Linked DNA regions of Schizosaccharomyces pombe. The main gene of each other region encodes a partner of the protein of the gene in region 4 in a complex. Each region holds a gene or a part of one and is shown on either strand. Other genes may lie near its edges.

Region 1 (3,518 bases), on a different chromosome or scaffold from region 4:
TGTTTCTTTATTAAACAGATCAACTATCGTACACACCCTGACGCTTGTCCTTGGATTACGGGAATACTCAGCTCAAAAAATAACAAAATAATGCGACGGAAGGAGAGCACAGTGTGAGATCTGATAGCACAAACTGGTAAAAGTCGGTTTATCAATTTGACCTGTACTACCCATCGCATGATCTTAAATTACGCCTTTTCATGCACAAAAATGGAAAATCTTTCAAGAAAGGAAAATTTACTCTAACAGACGATATTGTCTCACTATCCCATGTTTGTATTATGTGCAGACTAATTAACTTAACGTTCTTTTTAAACTACGTTATACTTGCTTATAGGAGACAACGTGCTTAACTGAAATGTTAACAGTTGCATACTTAGACTTATCTTGGATAGTGAGTTTGGCCCCTTTACCCTATATGCCAAAAGATGACCCAGGGGGTTAATATTAAGGCCTAAAAGGTAGGAGGAAGCAAGAAATGGTAAAATGGCACGTGCCAAGCCAAACAAGAAGAGATGATAGACACGCAGCTAAAGAACATAGCAAGCTTAAAGAACAAATAACAAAGCATTTTGGTTGGGAAATTGATCAGTTGAAGAAAGTTATTAAAGTTAATGATTATTATAGATTTACTAGTAAATACATAAAAACCAAGGAAAAGATAAGAAAATAAAATAAAATATAAATAATAATTAACGATAATTATATGTATATATAAGAGGATAATAATTTTATATATACACAGCAAATCCATCCTATATTTAACATAGTATTCCTCTATTAAGTGCGAATATTCTTTTACTTAATTCAGCCTTTGCTTATTTAATGCGAGTTGTCTCAGCCCTTAGTACAATGTCAAATCCTCTTTAAAAGATAGTTATTAAACCTTTTGTTATTCTAATGACAACTGTAACATATCCTTGACTTGTTTACTATCCCTGCTGTAATTTCCAACTCAATTTTTATTCTACATATATAAAGCATCAGTTAAAGATATTTTCGTTGCTTCTCTCCATCATTTTCACAACCAGGAAAAATGTTTATTTTAAAATTTCCCATACTATTGACCATGTAGAACCGTAATAACAATCGTAAACATTGCACTTAATGAGCTTTAAATACTCTCTCAATTCTTTCATTCAGTCTCCATATCCGAGGGATGTAGCCTTCTCCAGTCTATTCTATATCCGTCTTTGGGTGCGGCTATACTTGCGTTGTATAGATTTTCTCCGTATGCATCGTGATATGTCTCAATTTCGCGGATGAGATACGGACTTGGGATTTCGGGCAGATCGTCATACAATGTCACTAGCTTCCGCAATTCATGCGATTTGTTCATTTGCATTCTTTATTTGGCTAACCCTTGTAAAATTGGGAAAACACATTTTATATTCTCTTTGGACCCATAAACACTTAAAGTGACTTGTAACTCATCCATCCTAGTCTTGGTACAGCAAATGAATTAGGTTTGCTTACAACTTGAGGATCGTCTTATACTTTCAGTATTGCCAATAATTTACAGTTACAATGATACTTAAAGCTTGCGTTTGTTTAGAGCCGAATATATATATATATATACACGAAAGGCTTTTTAGAACCACCTCGTCATAAATGTTTCTTTACTAGGCTCGCTAATTTCCATCTGTGTTTTTTTTTCACGCTAGCAAACTATGCTATTGCAATTAGTTCATTCTTAACGTCCTAATTCATCTAGTACATGTCATTTTAACTAAAAGAATTTTTCCTGAAAGAAAATTGGTTCTTTCATTTGAATATCATTCTTTCCAAAAAAAATGTAGAAATACAAATAAGATTATAAATTGGCAAAGACGCGATTGGACTTTAATTAAATACCCATCTACAGCCAATAATTAAAAAACAATAATAATTGTAATAAAAAAAAAGAATTTTTCAAGAGTTGTTCATCACTTCATATTTTTTCTTCGAATGTTAATAGAACAGCAACTTCTATTTATAAGATTACTTATAGTTTGTTAATTATTCCTCTCTGTTAAATTGGCAGACATCAGGAGAAGAGACGCAGCAGACTCAATTTGTTATACTTTCCTTATTAACATTTTTTTATTTTTTATTTTATTTTATTTTTATTCAAAAATTCTTTCTAATTTTTTTATTCTTACTGTTCGTCTTTCGTTCTTAAGTGCCGTCATGCATGTTTCTCAATTAGAATTTCAAATCTAAATGCTTTTTTTCAAAACAAGTAATTCATTGATGAGCCTTTTATCTTTACTAATAGTTCTATAGTCTACCTAAAACAAAAAAATAACCTATTGAAAAGCCTCGATTGTACACAACCAAATTTAATAAAAATTGGATTGCAAAAAGGCTTTCTCATTACTCAAAACAATATCTTTGAATTGCAAACTTTCAATTTTACATTTCTGACTGCAAGTTATCCATCAAGTTAAAAGAGCTCGCCCACAAACCCTGGTGTAACTACAAAACCTTTAACTTACCGCTTGCACTGTACGTATATCCAGAATGGCTAAAAAGAATAAAGCTCGGTAAGACATACATGCTTAATTTAATGCGCATTTTTAACATTTATTTTTCAGTTTGCTTGTAAAATTATTGTCCACCGCTGGCACTGGATTTTTCTACGTTCGTTCACGTCCAAAAGCTGCTCCTAAGCTTGCTTTTATAAAATATGATCCCAAGTAAGTTATTATGGATTTTCTAAAGCCTCATTTAAGAAGCTAATGAATGAACCCATAGAATTCACAAAAGAGTACTTTTCGAAGAATCCAAAATGAAATAAAAACTTCTTCCATTTCAATGATAGTCTGAAAATGAAATGCTAAATTATGACCGATCAATCTACCTTTTTTCTTCAAAAACTTTATGGATGTGCATTAATTATGTATTAGCTTCCCAACCTACATCTTATACGACATAATTCTAAACAGCTGCGTGAACATAAAGACCCTTATATTATTCTGTCATATCTATAATTCCTATTTTTATTATTATTATTTAAGAGAAGGACTGAGATGTCAAATTTTCAAAGTAATAAGAATGTTCCTTTCACCTGTACCAATTGCTAGCCGAATTAGAACTATAGTAGTAACATCGTTTGTGTTTACTACTCTTGTAAGCACTGTAGCTCAGATCATTCGATTCTAAAATTCTCAAGCAATATTTTTAATACAAAATGGTTGTACTATTTAGAAATTATGCAAAACATGGCAAAGCATTGAATTGCTAAAACCAATCGTCGTTTAATGTCTTCGTAACATTTAATTATTTGTTTTCTATTAGCTTATACGATGCAATTATTTTTATTCCCTCGTTCCAATTCTTAGTGTAAATTTTTGTCTACCTACATTTTCTATGTGGAGCAAACTACTACACTTTTCAACGCTTTGATCACGATGCCAAAGAAAGCTGCATTGGACGAGCTTAAATGGAAGGAAGTCAAGCTTCCTGACCACCTAGACGACTTCGATGGGTTTATGGGCTTGGAAGAGATTGAAGGTGTGGATATCAAATATCAGCCA
Region 2 (4,171 bases), on a different chromosome or scaffold from region 4:
TGACAGCGAATATGAGTTAAAATTTTACACTTTAAGCCCAATTTGCAAATAGCTTCGCAATCTTGGCGGGACTGCTCAGAAGCCACGGGAGAAGTCAATTCAATGTAATCGACACCAAAGTTGTCCAATGCCTTAGCAATTTGAATTTTCTTCTCGGTGTCGAAAAAAGCGTTTGCGAATTGCTCACCTTCACGAAGAGTAGACTCAATAATGGAAAAGTTATTGACACGTGAAAGAAAATCAGATGGGTTGGGACCATAAGGGTTTCCATTCATAGGAGGCTTGATGGTCTCAGTACCATTAGCTTCGGACACAGACATGTTGATGACTTTAAAATGCAAAAAAAGGAAAAGGAAAAGCGAATTTTCTAAAATGAATTAAGTATAAATATATAAATTATACAATTCAACAACTTATTGTCCCGAAACCTGTTAGCTTTGAATTTTTTAAGCTAAATCTTTTATCACTGTAGAGGAGACAACTAAGAGCAAGGATGCACGTATGTATGAATTTCAAAAAATTCGACCCTACCCTATTTATTTACTGAAAGAAACAGTCACTACCAACTCGTAGGCAACCGCGGTAATTTATGGTAGAAAATTGATTTACAGATCCCGATCGATCTTGATGAGATTTAATCAGATCTATGGTAGTAATGATTAAGTTACTGATCCACTCAACAGTGGATTGCTAAGCTAGGTTCTAGAAGGTATAGTGATTTTTTTTGTAAACGTTGTAAATATTTTAGTGGAGTTGATTTGAATAATTTCATTCGTAATTCCATAGTAAAATCAGTTTCATATTATTTAAAGTGTACTTTTTGATTCACTTCATGATTTCGCACATATACAACGTGCCGTTTTTTACATCCCGAAAAAAAGTCCCCAACGGAGCAGAGAGCAGCAAATAAGATTTTCGCCAAAAACACTCATTACCGTTACCAACTTTTCAGGACCAAAGAAATTTGATGTTTTAACGAAATTGCCGAGCCGTAATCAAAGTGAATCAAAAGTGGTTCATATTTCGCCAACAAAAATTAAGCAACTCTCTCATTGGGGATGAAAGTTCCCATTTCGAAAATAGATAATGAAACATAGCGCAAAATGTACAATGTTTTAAGGCATTTCTGGCAAATTTCATTCACTAAAACATAGAATAACTACAACGATTGAAAAGAAGCTCATGAATGTCTGTACAAAGATGCAGCATTAAGTTCACAAACTAAGTAAGTGAGAAGTATGACAGAAAAGTAATTATTGAATGGGTTAAAAATAGATAAATTCAGCTTAACTTTTCCCTTAAACAGCTGTAGTAGTACTGGTAATTTCCTGATAGTTCATTTTGCTTGTCTCGGTGGTAATGGGGGTTTCATGAATCAGTGTGGTACCCAATCTTTTGGGGGTTTGCTTGACGATAATCTCATACTTGCCTGGAAGGTGAAAAGCGGCTTGCTTCAATGCATGCTCAGCTAACTCTTTACGCATTCCATCACCACCAATTTCAAAAAGTACACGACCGATTGGTATCCGTGCAGCCCAGTATTCAAAAGCTCCTTTGCCTTTGCCCATACGAGTTTCATTTCCTTTTACGCATACTGGCACATTGCAACAAAAACGTGTGTATACCCGAGCAGCCTTGATAGGTTTTAATATACGCTTGAGAATCTGTTCGGCAGTTTCGAGTTGCTTGGCATGAAATCTTATACTTCGATCTTTTAATCGCATACCATATTCTCCCCATTCAAGTTGAGTACCACGTAGTGAACCTCCTATGGGTATAGGGACTCTTCCTTTCTGAGCTTTTTGGTTTCTGATGCTTCTGGGTGCATACTGGTGTCCCCAACGAACCATCGTTTGGATAGGCGGCATTTGTAAACCATTCAACCTCGTAGGTCCTAAAATACCAGAAAAAAAGAAAGGAAATTTATTGTATTGTTGTAAAGCCATATTATATAAGTTTTTATGTTGTGAGGGTTTCAAAAAGTCATAAAACAACGTGTTTTTATTATCATGCAAAAGTCGTTCTTTAAAGTTACTCAGAAATATTCAAAATAATCAAATTTAAGTATTATATTTCTTTTTTTATGGGAAAATGGTAACAATAGTAACGATAATAGGCCTGCTATTTTTTGTATGAGAAGGGGGTTAAAGGATACTTGGATTCTGTATGTGTTGCTGCCACTTATCCTAACTAAGTTCCGGGAAGAAGCCGGACAATAACTGAACATTAGCTATAATTATTTATTTGTTTGTTTATTAGTTTGTAAAAAAAAAAAAAAAAATTATCTTAAGCATTAGGCAAAAAAGATTATTTTCATAGATACTGAATTTAACGTGCGTTTTATGCTCAACACATTATTTGATTCAGCATCATCATTTCAATGACAACAATGCGTGAATAGAAATAAAACAGTGACTATTTTAGCTATTTCAAATAATATACTTAGCTCATTTCTTGTCAAGGAATTCTTGTCCTTGAAGAATAACAAAACGTTCAACTGTTTAGTGCCTCAGTATTGGTATTTGGAATGTTAAGACTGTCTTAAAAAAATCTTCTGATGTACGTTTATAAACCATTAGAAGGATCCTCTATCGAGCTAAACATTATTGTATGGACAATCGAACGTAAGAATGCCAAGCGCAACTCTTTTGTCCCCTGTAGCAAGAACTTGCTCACATCATGATTATAAAAAAAACAAAAAATGGGATTAGGAAATTATGAAGGATCTGCTAAAATCTTGCGCATTGATCTACGTATCGCGGGAAAAGAAGAATTGTTCTGCAAAGCGTGAATAGCCTGATATTCCCAGTTTTCTAACGTCTTTTGAGCAGCTTCCTTCTTTAATGAATTTGTATATGATTGGGATAAAGACGCTGTTCTCGTAGAAAACGTCGACGAAGAACTAGTTGTTGACATACTTTAATAAATATTCCGAATGGACACAACCTTGAAGACTTGCCAATTCGAATTTCTCTGATTTTACTGATTCTTGCTGTAAAAAGTCTTAAAAAATTCCAATAAGCTATAACACGCTTGATTGTTCAAGCAAAGGATTTGAGTTATTTGTAGAAATAGAAATGTGCTTACTCGCCATAGTTATGAACATCGCCATGTTAGTCTAGGTCTCGAAGAGAAATCGTTATTTCATGTTACGTATAACATCAAAGTTCGTTATTGATTATTTCTTATATCATTACATCATATACCTTTGTAATGCTTAACTGTAAAGTAAGCTTATTTACAGTACGAAGCAGTTAGCAAAAGAGAAGTACATTTTTATAAAATCAATCATGCGTAAATGGATTAAATTCGGGTTTCACAGTAATAATTTATCATTTTTTGAAGCTCTAACCCCTACGGTTCAACTATTTACAATCTAATCTCGACCTTAAAAAAACAAATATGCCTCAATAAAAAAAAAAAATTTCTTACATTTAGCCGGTTTTTATTTTTAAAGATAAATAGTATCAATATTAAAAGCACTTGATTGCGAGACATGAATTACAAAATGTATAATATTCAATTTCATTAGCTCGTATAGCGATTTTGCGTTTAAGAAACTTCGAAAAGGTTTTTTTAAAAAAATTAAAATAAAAACAAAGAAAAATCAAATAAGCTCATCAGTTGCAATCGGGTATTAAAAATAGAGCAACAAGTTAAAATGAAGGAATAAAAGCAAATTACTCATTAGGTAAGGGATCCAAACTCAACAAAAAGAAAATTAAAACTACTAAAATACAAACCAAAAACAAAAAAGTCAAATATGCACAACGAATACAGACATTAGGTGCTTCTCAAACGAGAAAGATTCACGTTACCACCCCTTGCCTCAAGGAGCTTCTGATAATTTAATAGACTAATCGTGATTGCAGGATTTCCATCGGGTTGTTGAGCTTCATAGTTTAGCAAAAGCTCGATCGCCTTCATAGCGTCTTTAGTGGTAATCTGGAATTCAGTAGATTCTTCTTCGTCCGTCTCGAAAGCGCGATCATCCATGTACTGCGAAGCAATTTGATTGATTATATCCTCAGAGGAATCAACAATATTCTCTTCTGAAGGACTTATAAAATCCTCTATACGCATAGCAGCTTGAACAGAAAACTCTGAGACGAGCTCACGAAGTGGATGAATCATTTCATCCAAGGCACGCGAGGTAACGGCAGATTCATTG
Region 3 (3,456 bases), on a different chromosome or scaffold from region 4:
AACTTATTCAGTGTAAATATACTTATTTCTATTTTCGAATCCTAGCTCTGAACAAGTTCTTGTTCTTTGTGATAATTCCAACGTGTATTTAAAGCAGTATATAAAGGTCAAACACCATCAAATGAACAGTTTATCAAATCTCATGGAACCATTTATTAAACATTATACTTTTTGCTTAAATAAATATTCAAAGTGTTTTTTTTTTTTTTTTTTTTTTTTTTTTAATGCATATGGTAGGAATAGGCATTATTTATTAAATGGATTCGCAAATGGTTAATATTGTGCTAGGAGATATGTTGATTTCAATTGCAATATCTTTTACCTATATTTAAATGGCACTATGTAGAAAGCTGACAAGAGAATATTTTAACAAGCAATCCCGAATCATCAAAAATAAATTAAAATAATTTTAAAAAATAAAAAAAATAAATCGCAGAAGCACAAAGCATAATACTATTGATAAGTTCAATGTAATTTAATTTGGTTCATTACTATTTAAAACTAAATCCCCATCTTATAGTAATATAGAAATAAACAGAAAGTATATACAATTTCTCTACAGGATGAAAGAAAAAAAAACCCCCAGAAAATAAATGAGGGAAAAAAATAGGATATCAAATATTGATCGAGGAAATCACAAGCATTTCCTTCAGTGTAAGAAAAGCAAAATAGGGAAAATCGTAATTGTACATTGAAAGCATACATTTTTACAAAATTGTAAAATTTCTTTATTTAAATCGTTTCCAAAATGAACCGGAAATGTTATAAGCAAAAATATACTAAATAAATGAATTTAAAACTATTTCGGTACACTAAATAATCTCTTATAAATTTATTAAATTTAAATACATAATCTACTTAATACTAATCGTCTCAACGGAGGACAACGTGGCCGAGTGGTTTTAAGGCGTTCGCCTGCTATTCTGTAGCCCAGCGGATTCCCTTTGGGAGCGCAGGTTCGAATCCTGCCGTTGTCGGCATGATTTTTTTTATTTGTAAAATGAATATCGAAGAGCCTTAGAGAAATATGTTATAGGAATTTATCGAGGCAAATAATGAAATTCTAGTAAGAGAATAACCTGATGGTTAAAGCTTGTTTATTGATCTTCTTGCAGATTTTTTATTGTTTTCATGAGATGGATAATACTTTAAATGATTTATGTTCTATCTAAAGTAAAACTTGGCGAAATTTTAAGAAAACACCCATAAAGGTGTAACTATTAACTAAGAAGAGTTCGCAAGTCAGTGATTTATTTTTTTCAATTGTCCCGAGTGACTTAAGACACCGACTAGTACAATTTGTCAAATTTATTGTAAATCTATTTTTCTTTAACAAAAAGTGATTGCAAGCGCTTCTCGATCCTCAATGGATCAGTCGCTAACTGTGTGGAATAAGTACATTTCGCAAGTAAAAAAAATGGTAATTCTGACGTATCGAATGAAGGACATAACGTTAAACATAATTGAATACTAATTCTAAAATCTATATATGTTCTCTTTATTTAAACCGTACTACTAGATTGTTCCTCAATATCCCAAATAACACCTAATGGTTCTTTACCATTTACAACAATCAAGTGATTGTCGAAGAAACATTGCAAGTTGAGAAAAATGAATGAAGTAGAAATATTCTAATGTGCTAATGATTTATTGTAAAAATAAATCATATTATTTTATTTCTTTGACTTTCTTACATAGTCGAACACAGACAAATACAATTTTCGATTAACATTTCTAGAGTCTCACTTGATAGATTGTGCTTTACTTTATTTCATAAGTATTCCTATAGTACTCAAGCGTGCTTGGTATTATTATTGTAAACTTAATGACATTCTTGTTAGAACGACACCCCATTTGAACTTAGCAATAGTTTATAATTATGAAAAAAACAAAAACAAAAATTTTATTTTGATTCCCAAATTGTAAACAGACGCTTGAAACCCTTACATGTACCTGTGTCTGCTACCCATCTGTACATGAGTTGTATAGTAACGTCCAGGTTGTCCCATAACCAAACTCCTTGAACTTTGAAAGCGGCTCTTTATAGAGTCATTTTTTATTTCCTATAGTACTTGAAATAATATTATTCTCTAAAACTTTTCACTCAAAGAGCAGGACGTATTTGCTCCTTATATATGCGAAGGCGTTACTATTGACCTTTTTCATCGCCTTTGATCCACTTTTGGTTAAAGATTTTATCCTCCTTGCAAAGTTTTTTGTTTACTGTCTAAGCAATGCCATTTATCGAGTCAATGGCCCCTTTATCGCGCGCAATTACTCGCGGTATCTCTCAATTCTCATGCTACTCTAACACATTGGTTTTAAGAAGTTCCCGTAACTCTTCTTCATCATTAGTTAAACGAAGTTATGTATCCTCTCGTGTTTCACCCAAAAAGCCACAGCATAATTCGGATGCCACTTCTTCAGCTCAAAAAGTCGCTAATAAAACGCACACTAGTTCTGTCCTTCCAGGTACTATATTAAAGGGACTGTGTATAAAGGCGGGTGGCGTCGACCCTGTAGCTCGTGAAGATCATGAATATCCAGAATGGTTATGGTCTCTTCTGGATGAGCCAGCTCCCAATTCTAAGACTGCCCGAAGTCATGCTCGTAAAAGTGCCATTCGAGCGGCTAACTTTCTTACTAAAAAATAATTACCTTTTAGAATGTTTGAAACTCTTAATTTTCCATCTCCTCTCTATCCTTATGAGCATTTGATCCATTCTTTTTGTTTACTTTTTTTGAGGCATATGACATTCGCTACTTTACCATTTCCCAGAATCCAAAAATCATTTTAAAATAAAAATATATTAAATAACCTTATATCAGTGATATACATTTGTAGCATAAAAAAAATTACTACTACATGTCCTTCTTTAAGAGAAGCATATTCAAACCTCAACCTGCCAACCTTAGAGAAACCGGTATTGCCCAAACTGTGTATCGTTTATGGAATTTGGCTGACGAAAATGTATTCTAGAATTGTATTGAACGATGTTGAGAAAAAAGTTGTTAATCTTTTGAAAAAGACTGCTGATTTTATTGAATCTAAATCCAGCAGCAGTTCGTCATTGGAAGTTAGATTGGCAGGAGGATGGGTTCGCGATAAACTTCTTGGGCTTTCTAGTGACGATTTAGACGTTACGTTGAATAAAGTTACCGGTGTTGACTTTGCAAATTCAATATTTGAGTATGTTCACTCTCTCGACTCTGACTCAGTTATTCCATATAAAGACGCACTTGGCAAGCTAACTGTCAATCCCGATCAAAGCAAGCATTTAGAAACTGCTACCTTATCCCTATTTGACCTTGATATTGATTTTGTAGGACTTCGTGCAGAATCATATGATGATAAAAGTCGAATTCCTAGCGTTACCCCAGGAACTGTTGAAACAGATGCATTGAGAAGAGACTTCACGGTTAACACCCTATTCTTTAACATACGAACAGAAAAAA
Region 4 (3,596 bases):
CTCTTGAATACAAATCATCAAAGCAATTCTTAGATTCCTCTGGATTTTCCTTTTGCCATTGCTGTACTTTTTTTACCATACCCGGTGTGCTACTGCCACCAGCTACGTCCCCCATTAGCAAACAATAAGTAGCAGGCAATTGAAATGGAACAACATCTGACCATTTTTTAGAAACTATTTTTCTCAGTTCGGTGGAAAAATTTATGTTCTTTATTTGTTCGTCGTATGGGACCAGCAGTTGTTCAATTAATTTAGGATCAAACCTTCTATAAATACAACTTCCCCAAGTGGCAGCGCCAACATCAAACCCACTTCCTACTTTTCCTTGTGCAGAACAGTGGGCAATTTGTGCCAGATTGTGAACTATGACTTTGGTTGAATCATCAATTTTGAGAGATTTGTCACCAGTGTCATCTGTTAGTCGTCTAAGACTTAAAAATAATGAACCTATAAGACTTGTAATCATAGCTGCCGAGCTTCCTAAACCAGTCTTATGTACTTGACCTAAAGTACAGTTTAAGAAATTGAATTTTGGATAGCTTGTTTGATCAGGCTTTAACTGTGGTTGGTGATAATAGGCATTATCTACCTGCAATGTAACTTGAAGATCTTGCCAGCATAAAGGTTGTCGCCCCGTGGAAAAAAAGTAGTTAATTACATAAAAAAGTGCCAGTTGAACGAAGGGGTTTGGATTTTTTTCCAATTCACAGTTTTCATATATCTGATGAACTCGAATAGGAGATACAGTCCAATCAATATTATAAAGCCATTCAGCGTTAATGAATTGAGGGCTTTTCACACGAACCGTTCCACATTTATCGTCCAAAGTCGTTGTGGAAGCGTACCCTTTGGCAGTTAAACCAATAACAAGCCCGCTGTATTGAGGATCTAAAACAATGTATCCACCAGCTATAAGTACTTTACCAGGAGCAGAGCAGGTCCTGCCAAAGACGCTAGTTAGAGATGGACAAAACAGAAAAAAAGAAAAAAGACTGGTTTCAACTTACACTTTCATGTTGATATATTTTTGTCTTGAATATGGATATCTCTATAATGTTTTGTGTGTCGTAACTTTTTTATAGGACCTGAGAAGGAAATAGAAAGGAATGTATGACTTCTATCTTACGTGATAATCTGTTGAATTTAGAGAAATGATATATCAGTCAAAGTAAAAGAGAGGATTATCTTCGAACAGTAGCTCCTGAAAAGTGTTATTCTAAAAATCAAAAAAAATAAAAAAAGAACTGATCAAAGAGTATCAAATGTTATACAGAAACTAAAGTTGCTTTGAGTAAATCAACTTTCTAAATCATTATCGTATCGTTCGTTTCGCAAGATTTGCTTGTGGAGAAAATAGTATAGAAAATTAACGTTAATTAAGGAGAGTTCGAAATCAGGAATACAGAGATTACATTAACGCATATTCATATTAGAGTATATAATTGATTGCATATAAAATAATATCTTTTACGAAAATGGAACATTAAGGTGGAAAGAAAAAAGCAAATCTTGCTATTGAAGTTTTCTGAATACCAGCGAGTTATTGATAGTATTATAACTACAATGAGAAGCCATGTAACTGAATTGGAACACGTATATTCATTCGGGTTCAACAGGAATCTTTCTATTGCCTTGAACATTCAAGGTCAGAAACACAATCCTTGATGGATAAATCATATAAAAATATATAATCAACTGTATTAACTTACATAGTCTAATATAGCGTAATGGAAGGTTGACAATAAATAACATATAACGAAATACGTTGTGCAGAATTTGCTAATTCATTTTGAATACCATCGTACTTACTTAAAAAGATACTCTGTAGAATATAGTGTTTTGTCATTCTTACTAACGAACGGTATTTAATGACTTTTGGAAGACATGTTTAATGCCAAACACTTTTTCAATTTAGGATTGGGCTTTCAATGGCTACAAAAGAGAGGTATTGGATCGTTAAAACGGCCTTATAACTTTCCAAAGCCAGTACCAGGTCCAAAGCACAAAGATGTGTTATCATTATTCGAAAAAAAGTGCCGTTCAGTATTGGATGAGCAATCTGAGCGATTCAAAATGTTTCATCGCTCGCAGCCAAATCGAGTAAGACCAGGCGCGGTTTTACTGGTTGAAAGCTACTCAAAATACCCATCAAAAGATTCAGTCAACAGATTTGCTGGTTATCTACTGCGAATTCGGCATCGTGGACCAAAAAGTTCAATCCTGTTACGAAACGTGGTAATGGGTGTTGGAGTCGAATATTTGTTACCAATTTACTCTCCACAAATTAAACGTATTGTTGTCCTCAAAGAAAATGGTCTATCTAAAAGACCTAGAAGAGCATACTTAAGTTACTTGCGTCAACCTCGCTTTCGTCTTCCACCTGTTGAATCACTGGTGCGAAAATACATTGAACAAAATCAACATAAACCTTGACACAATCATTGCAACTTCTGCAAGTAAATTTCTTTTTTTTTGCGAATCTTTCATGATTTTATTCAAGAAGCGCTGTATGATTTATAGTTCGTTTACACTCTATGTTTCCCTATCTACTTGTCTTTTTCTACAGGCTATTGCATTTAGAACTGCATTATAAGAGGCGTTGGTTGGTTTTCTGGAACAGATTTAGAGATTTGGATGTATATTTCGGCTTTAGCCTGTTTGTCAAAACACGTATTATCGATTCCATGAAACGGCAATGAATCACCTCCTTTGAGCCTTTTACCCCCTTCTCATTCTTTGAATCGACAAGTCACATGTCATTGCCATTAATTTTCCCAGATGAATTTGTGAGGCACTATGAATCAAAACCTCTACTTTTTTCTTATAAATTTGAGCTGTATGTAGGCTTGCCTCTTCATAATTCTGCGCTTTGATTATTTTGAATAATATTTGAAATTATTCATGTAAAAAAGTATAAAACTTGAGCTCAACAATATGTTATAAGCTAAAGAAGCAAAGTATCATAAATATAAAAATTTTGTTAGCATGTCGAATGTAGCCGGCTTGTTACAGTCCAATGAAAATTAGTTTTAGTTAGAAATTTTAAACTTTCAGAAAACGAAAAGATGTATAGCTAAAGCCAAATATCAACTGTAAATCTACTAACTCTTCTCTTCTTACGACATTTTGTTTTTCGCCTGAATTGTTTTCTTAATACCGTGGTAGAACGTAAAACATTAGCTAGCAAAAAACACTAATGTTTATTTAATTAGATCTCAAATACAATATACAAAGACTATGAAGGTGAAAATACTGAGTAAGCGAATATTTTGGAAATAAAATTGTTTTCTAACCACTAGGATACCATGCAATTGCTAACTGGACGTGGGATACCCCAAAAGACGACGTTTGTGGTATATGTCGTGTTCCATTCGATGGATGCTGCCCTCAATGCACAAGTCCTGGAGACAATTGCCCCATAGGTAAGAATATGTTTGTATTTATTTCCTGAATATGCTCTGCGGAGGCTTACTTGTATACTTTGCATCCTAAGGGGGTATCAGCATGAAAATTTGTTGCGCAATTGGGTTGGTTGTGTTCAAATAATCTTTAATCTAATATTCATACTTTGTTTTTGTTAAAAAGAGTTTATCATG

What was found.
Region 1: img1 (region 4) and mrpl39 share a complex: the UniProt entries of both Schizosaccharomyces pombe proteins name them as parts of the mitochondrial large ribosomal subunit.
Region 2: img1 (region 4) and mrpl16 share a complex: the UniProt entries of both Schizosaccharomyces pombe proteins name them as parts of the mitochondrial large ribosomal subunit.
Region 3: img1 (region 4) and mrpl37 share a complex: the UniProt entries of both Schizosaccharomyces pombe proteins name them as parts of the mitochondrial large ribosomal subunit.

The regions. Positions count from the first base shown.
Region 1 is NC_003423.3:2,700,234-2,703,751, reverse strand, and holds mrpl39 (mitochondrial ribosomal protein subunit bL33m), read left to right. Parts: upstream 1-2,000; 5' UTR 2,001-2,502; coding exon 2,503-2,525; exon of another isoform or gene 2,526-2,576; coding exon 2,577-2,678; exon of another isoform or gene 2,679-2,709; intron 2,710-2,736; coding exon 2,737-2,779; 3' UTR 2,780-3,017; downstream 3,018-3,518. Other genes in the region: ATP-dependent RNA helicase Mak5, read left to right, coding at 3,393-3,518. UniProt on the Schizosaccharomyces pombe protein: Component of the mitochondrial ribosome (mitoribosome), a dedicated translation machinery responsible for the synthesis of mitochondrial genome-encoded proteins, including at least some of the essential transmembrane subunits of the mitochondrial respiratory chain.
Region 2 is NC_003423.3:3,506,988-3,511,158, forward strand, and holds mrpl16 (mitochondrial 54S ribosomal protein uL16m), read right to left. Parts: upstream 2,147-4,171; 5' UTR 1,947-2,146; coding exon 1,299-1,946; 3' UTR 536-1,298; downstream 1-535. Other genes in the region: lys4 (homocitrate synthase), read right to left, coding at 1-320; protein tam12, read right to left, coding at 2,716-2,916; ARS-binding protein Cbp1, read right to left, coding at 3,784-4,171. UniProt on the Schizosaccharomyces pombe protein: Component of the mitochondrial ribosome (mitoribosome), a dedicated translation machinery responsible for the synthesis of mitochondrial genome-encoded proteins, including at least some of the essential transmembrane subunits of the mitochondrial respiratory chain.
Region 3 is NC_003421.2:1,252,311-1,255,766, forward strand, and holds mrpl37 (mitochondrial 54S ribosomal protein mL54), read left to right. Parts: upstream 1-2,007; 5' UTR 2,008-2,234; coding exon 2,235-2,654; 3' UTR 2,655-2,916; downstream 2,917-3,456. Other genes in the region: cca2 (ATP/CTP tRNA nucleotidyltransferase), read left to right, coding at 2,970-3,456. UniProt on the Schizosaccharomyces pombe protein: Component of the mitochondrial ribosome (mitoribosome), a dedicated translation machinery responsible for the synthesis of mitochondrial genome-encoded proteins, including at least some of the essential transmembrane subunits of the mitochondrial respiratory chain.
Region 4 is NC_003424.3:1,639,871-1,643,466, forward strand, and holds img1 (mitochondrial 54S ribosomal protein bL19m), read left to right. Parts: upstream 1-1,824; 5' UTR 1,825-1,884; coding exon 1,885-2,433; 3' UTR 2,434-3,062; downstream 3,063-3,596. Other genes in the region: erg8 (phosphomevalonate kinase), read right to left, coding at 1-941, 1,008-1,015; anaphase-promoting complex ubiquitin -protein ligase E3 subunit Apc11, read left to right, coding at 3,238-3,256, 3,300-3,422. UniProt on the Schizosaccharomyces pombe protein: Component of the mitochondrial ribosome (mitoribosome), a dedicated translation machinery responsible for the synthesis of mitochondrial genome-encoded proteins, including at least some of the essential transmembrane subunits of the mitochondrial respiratory chain.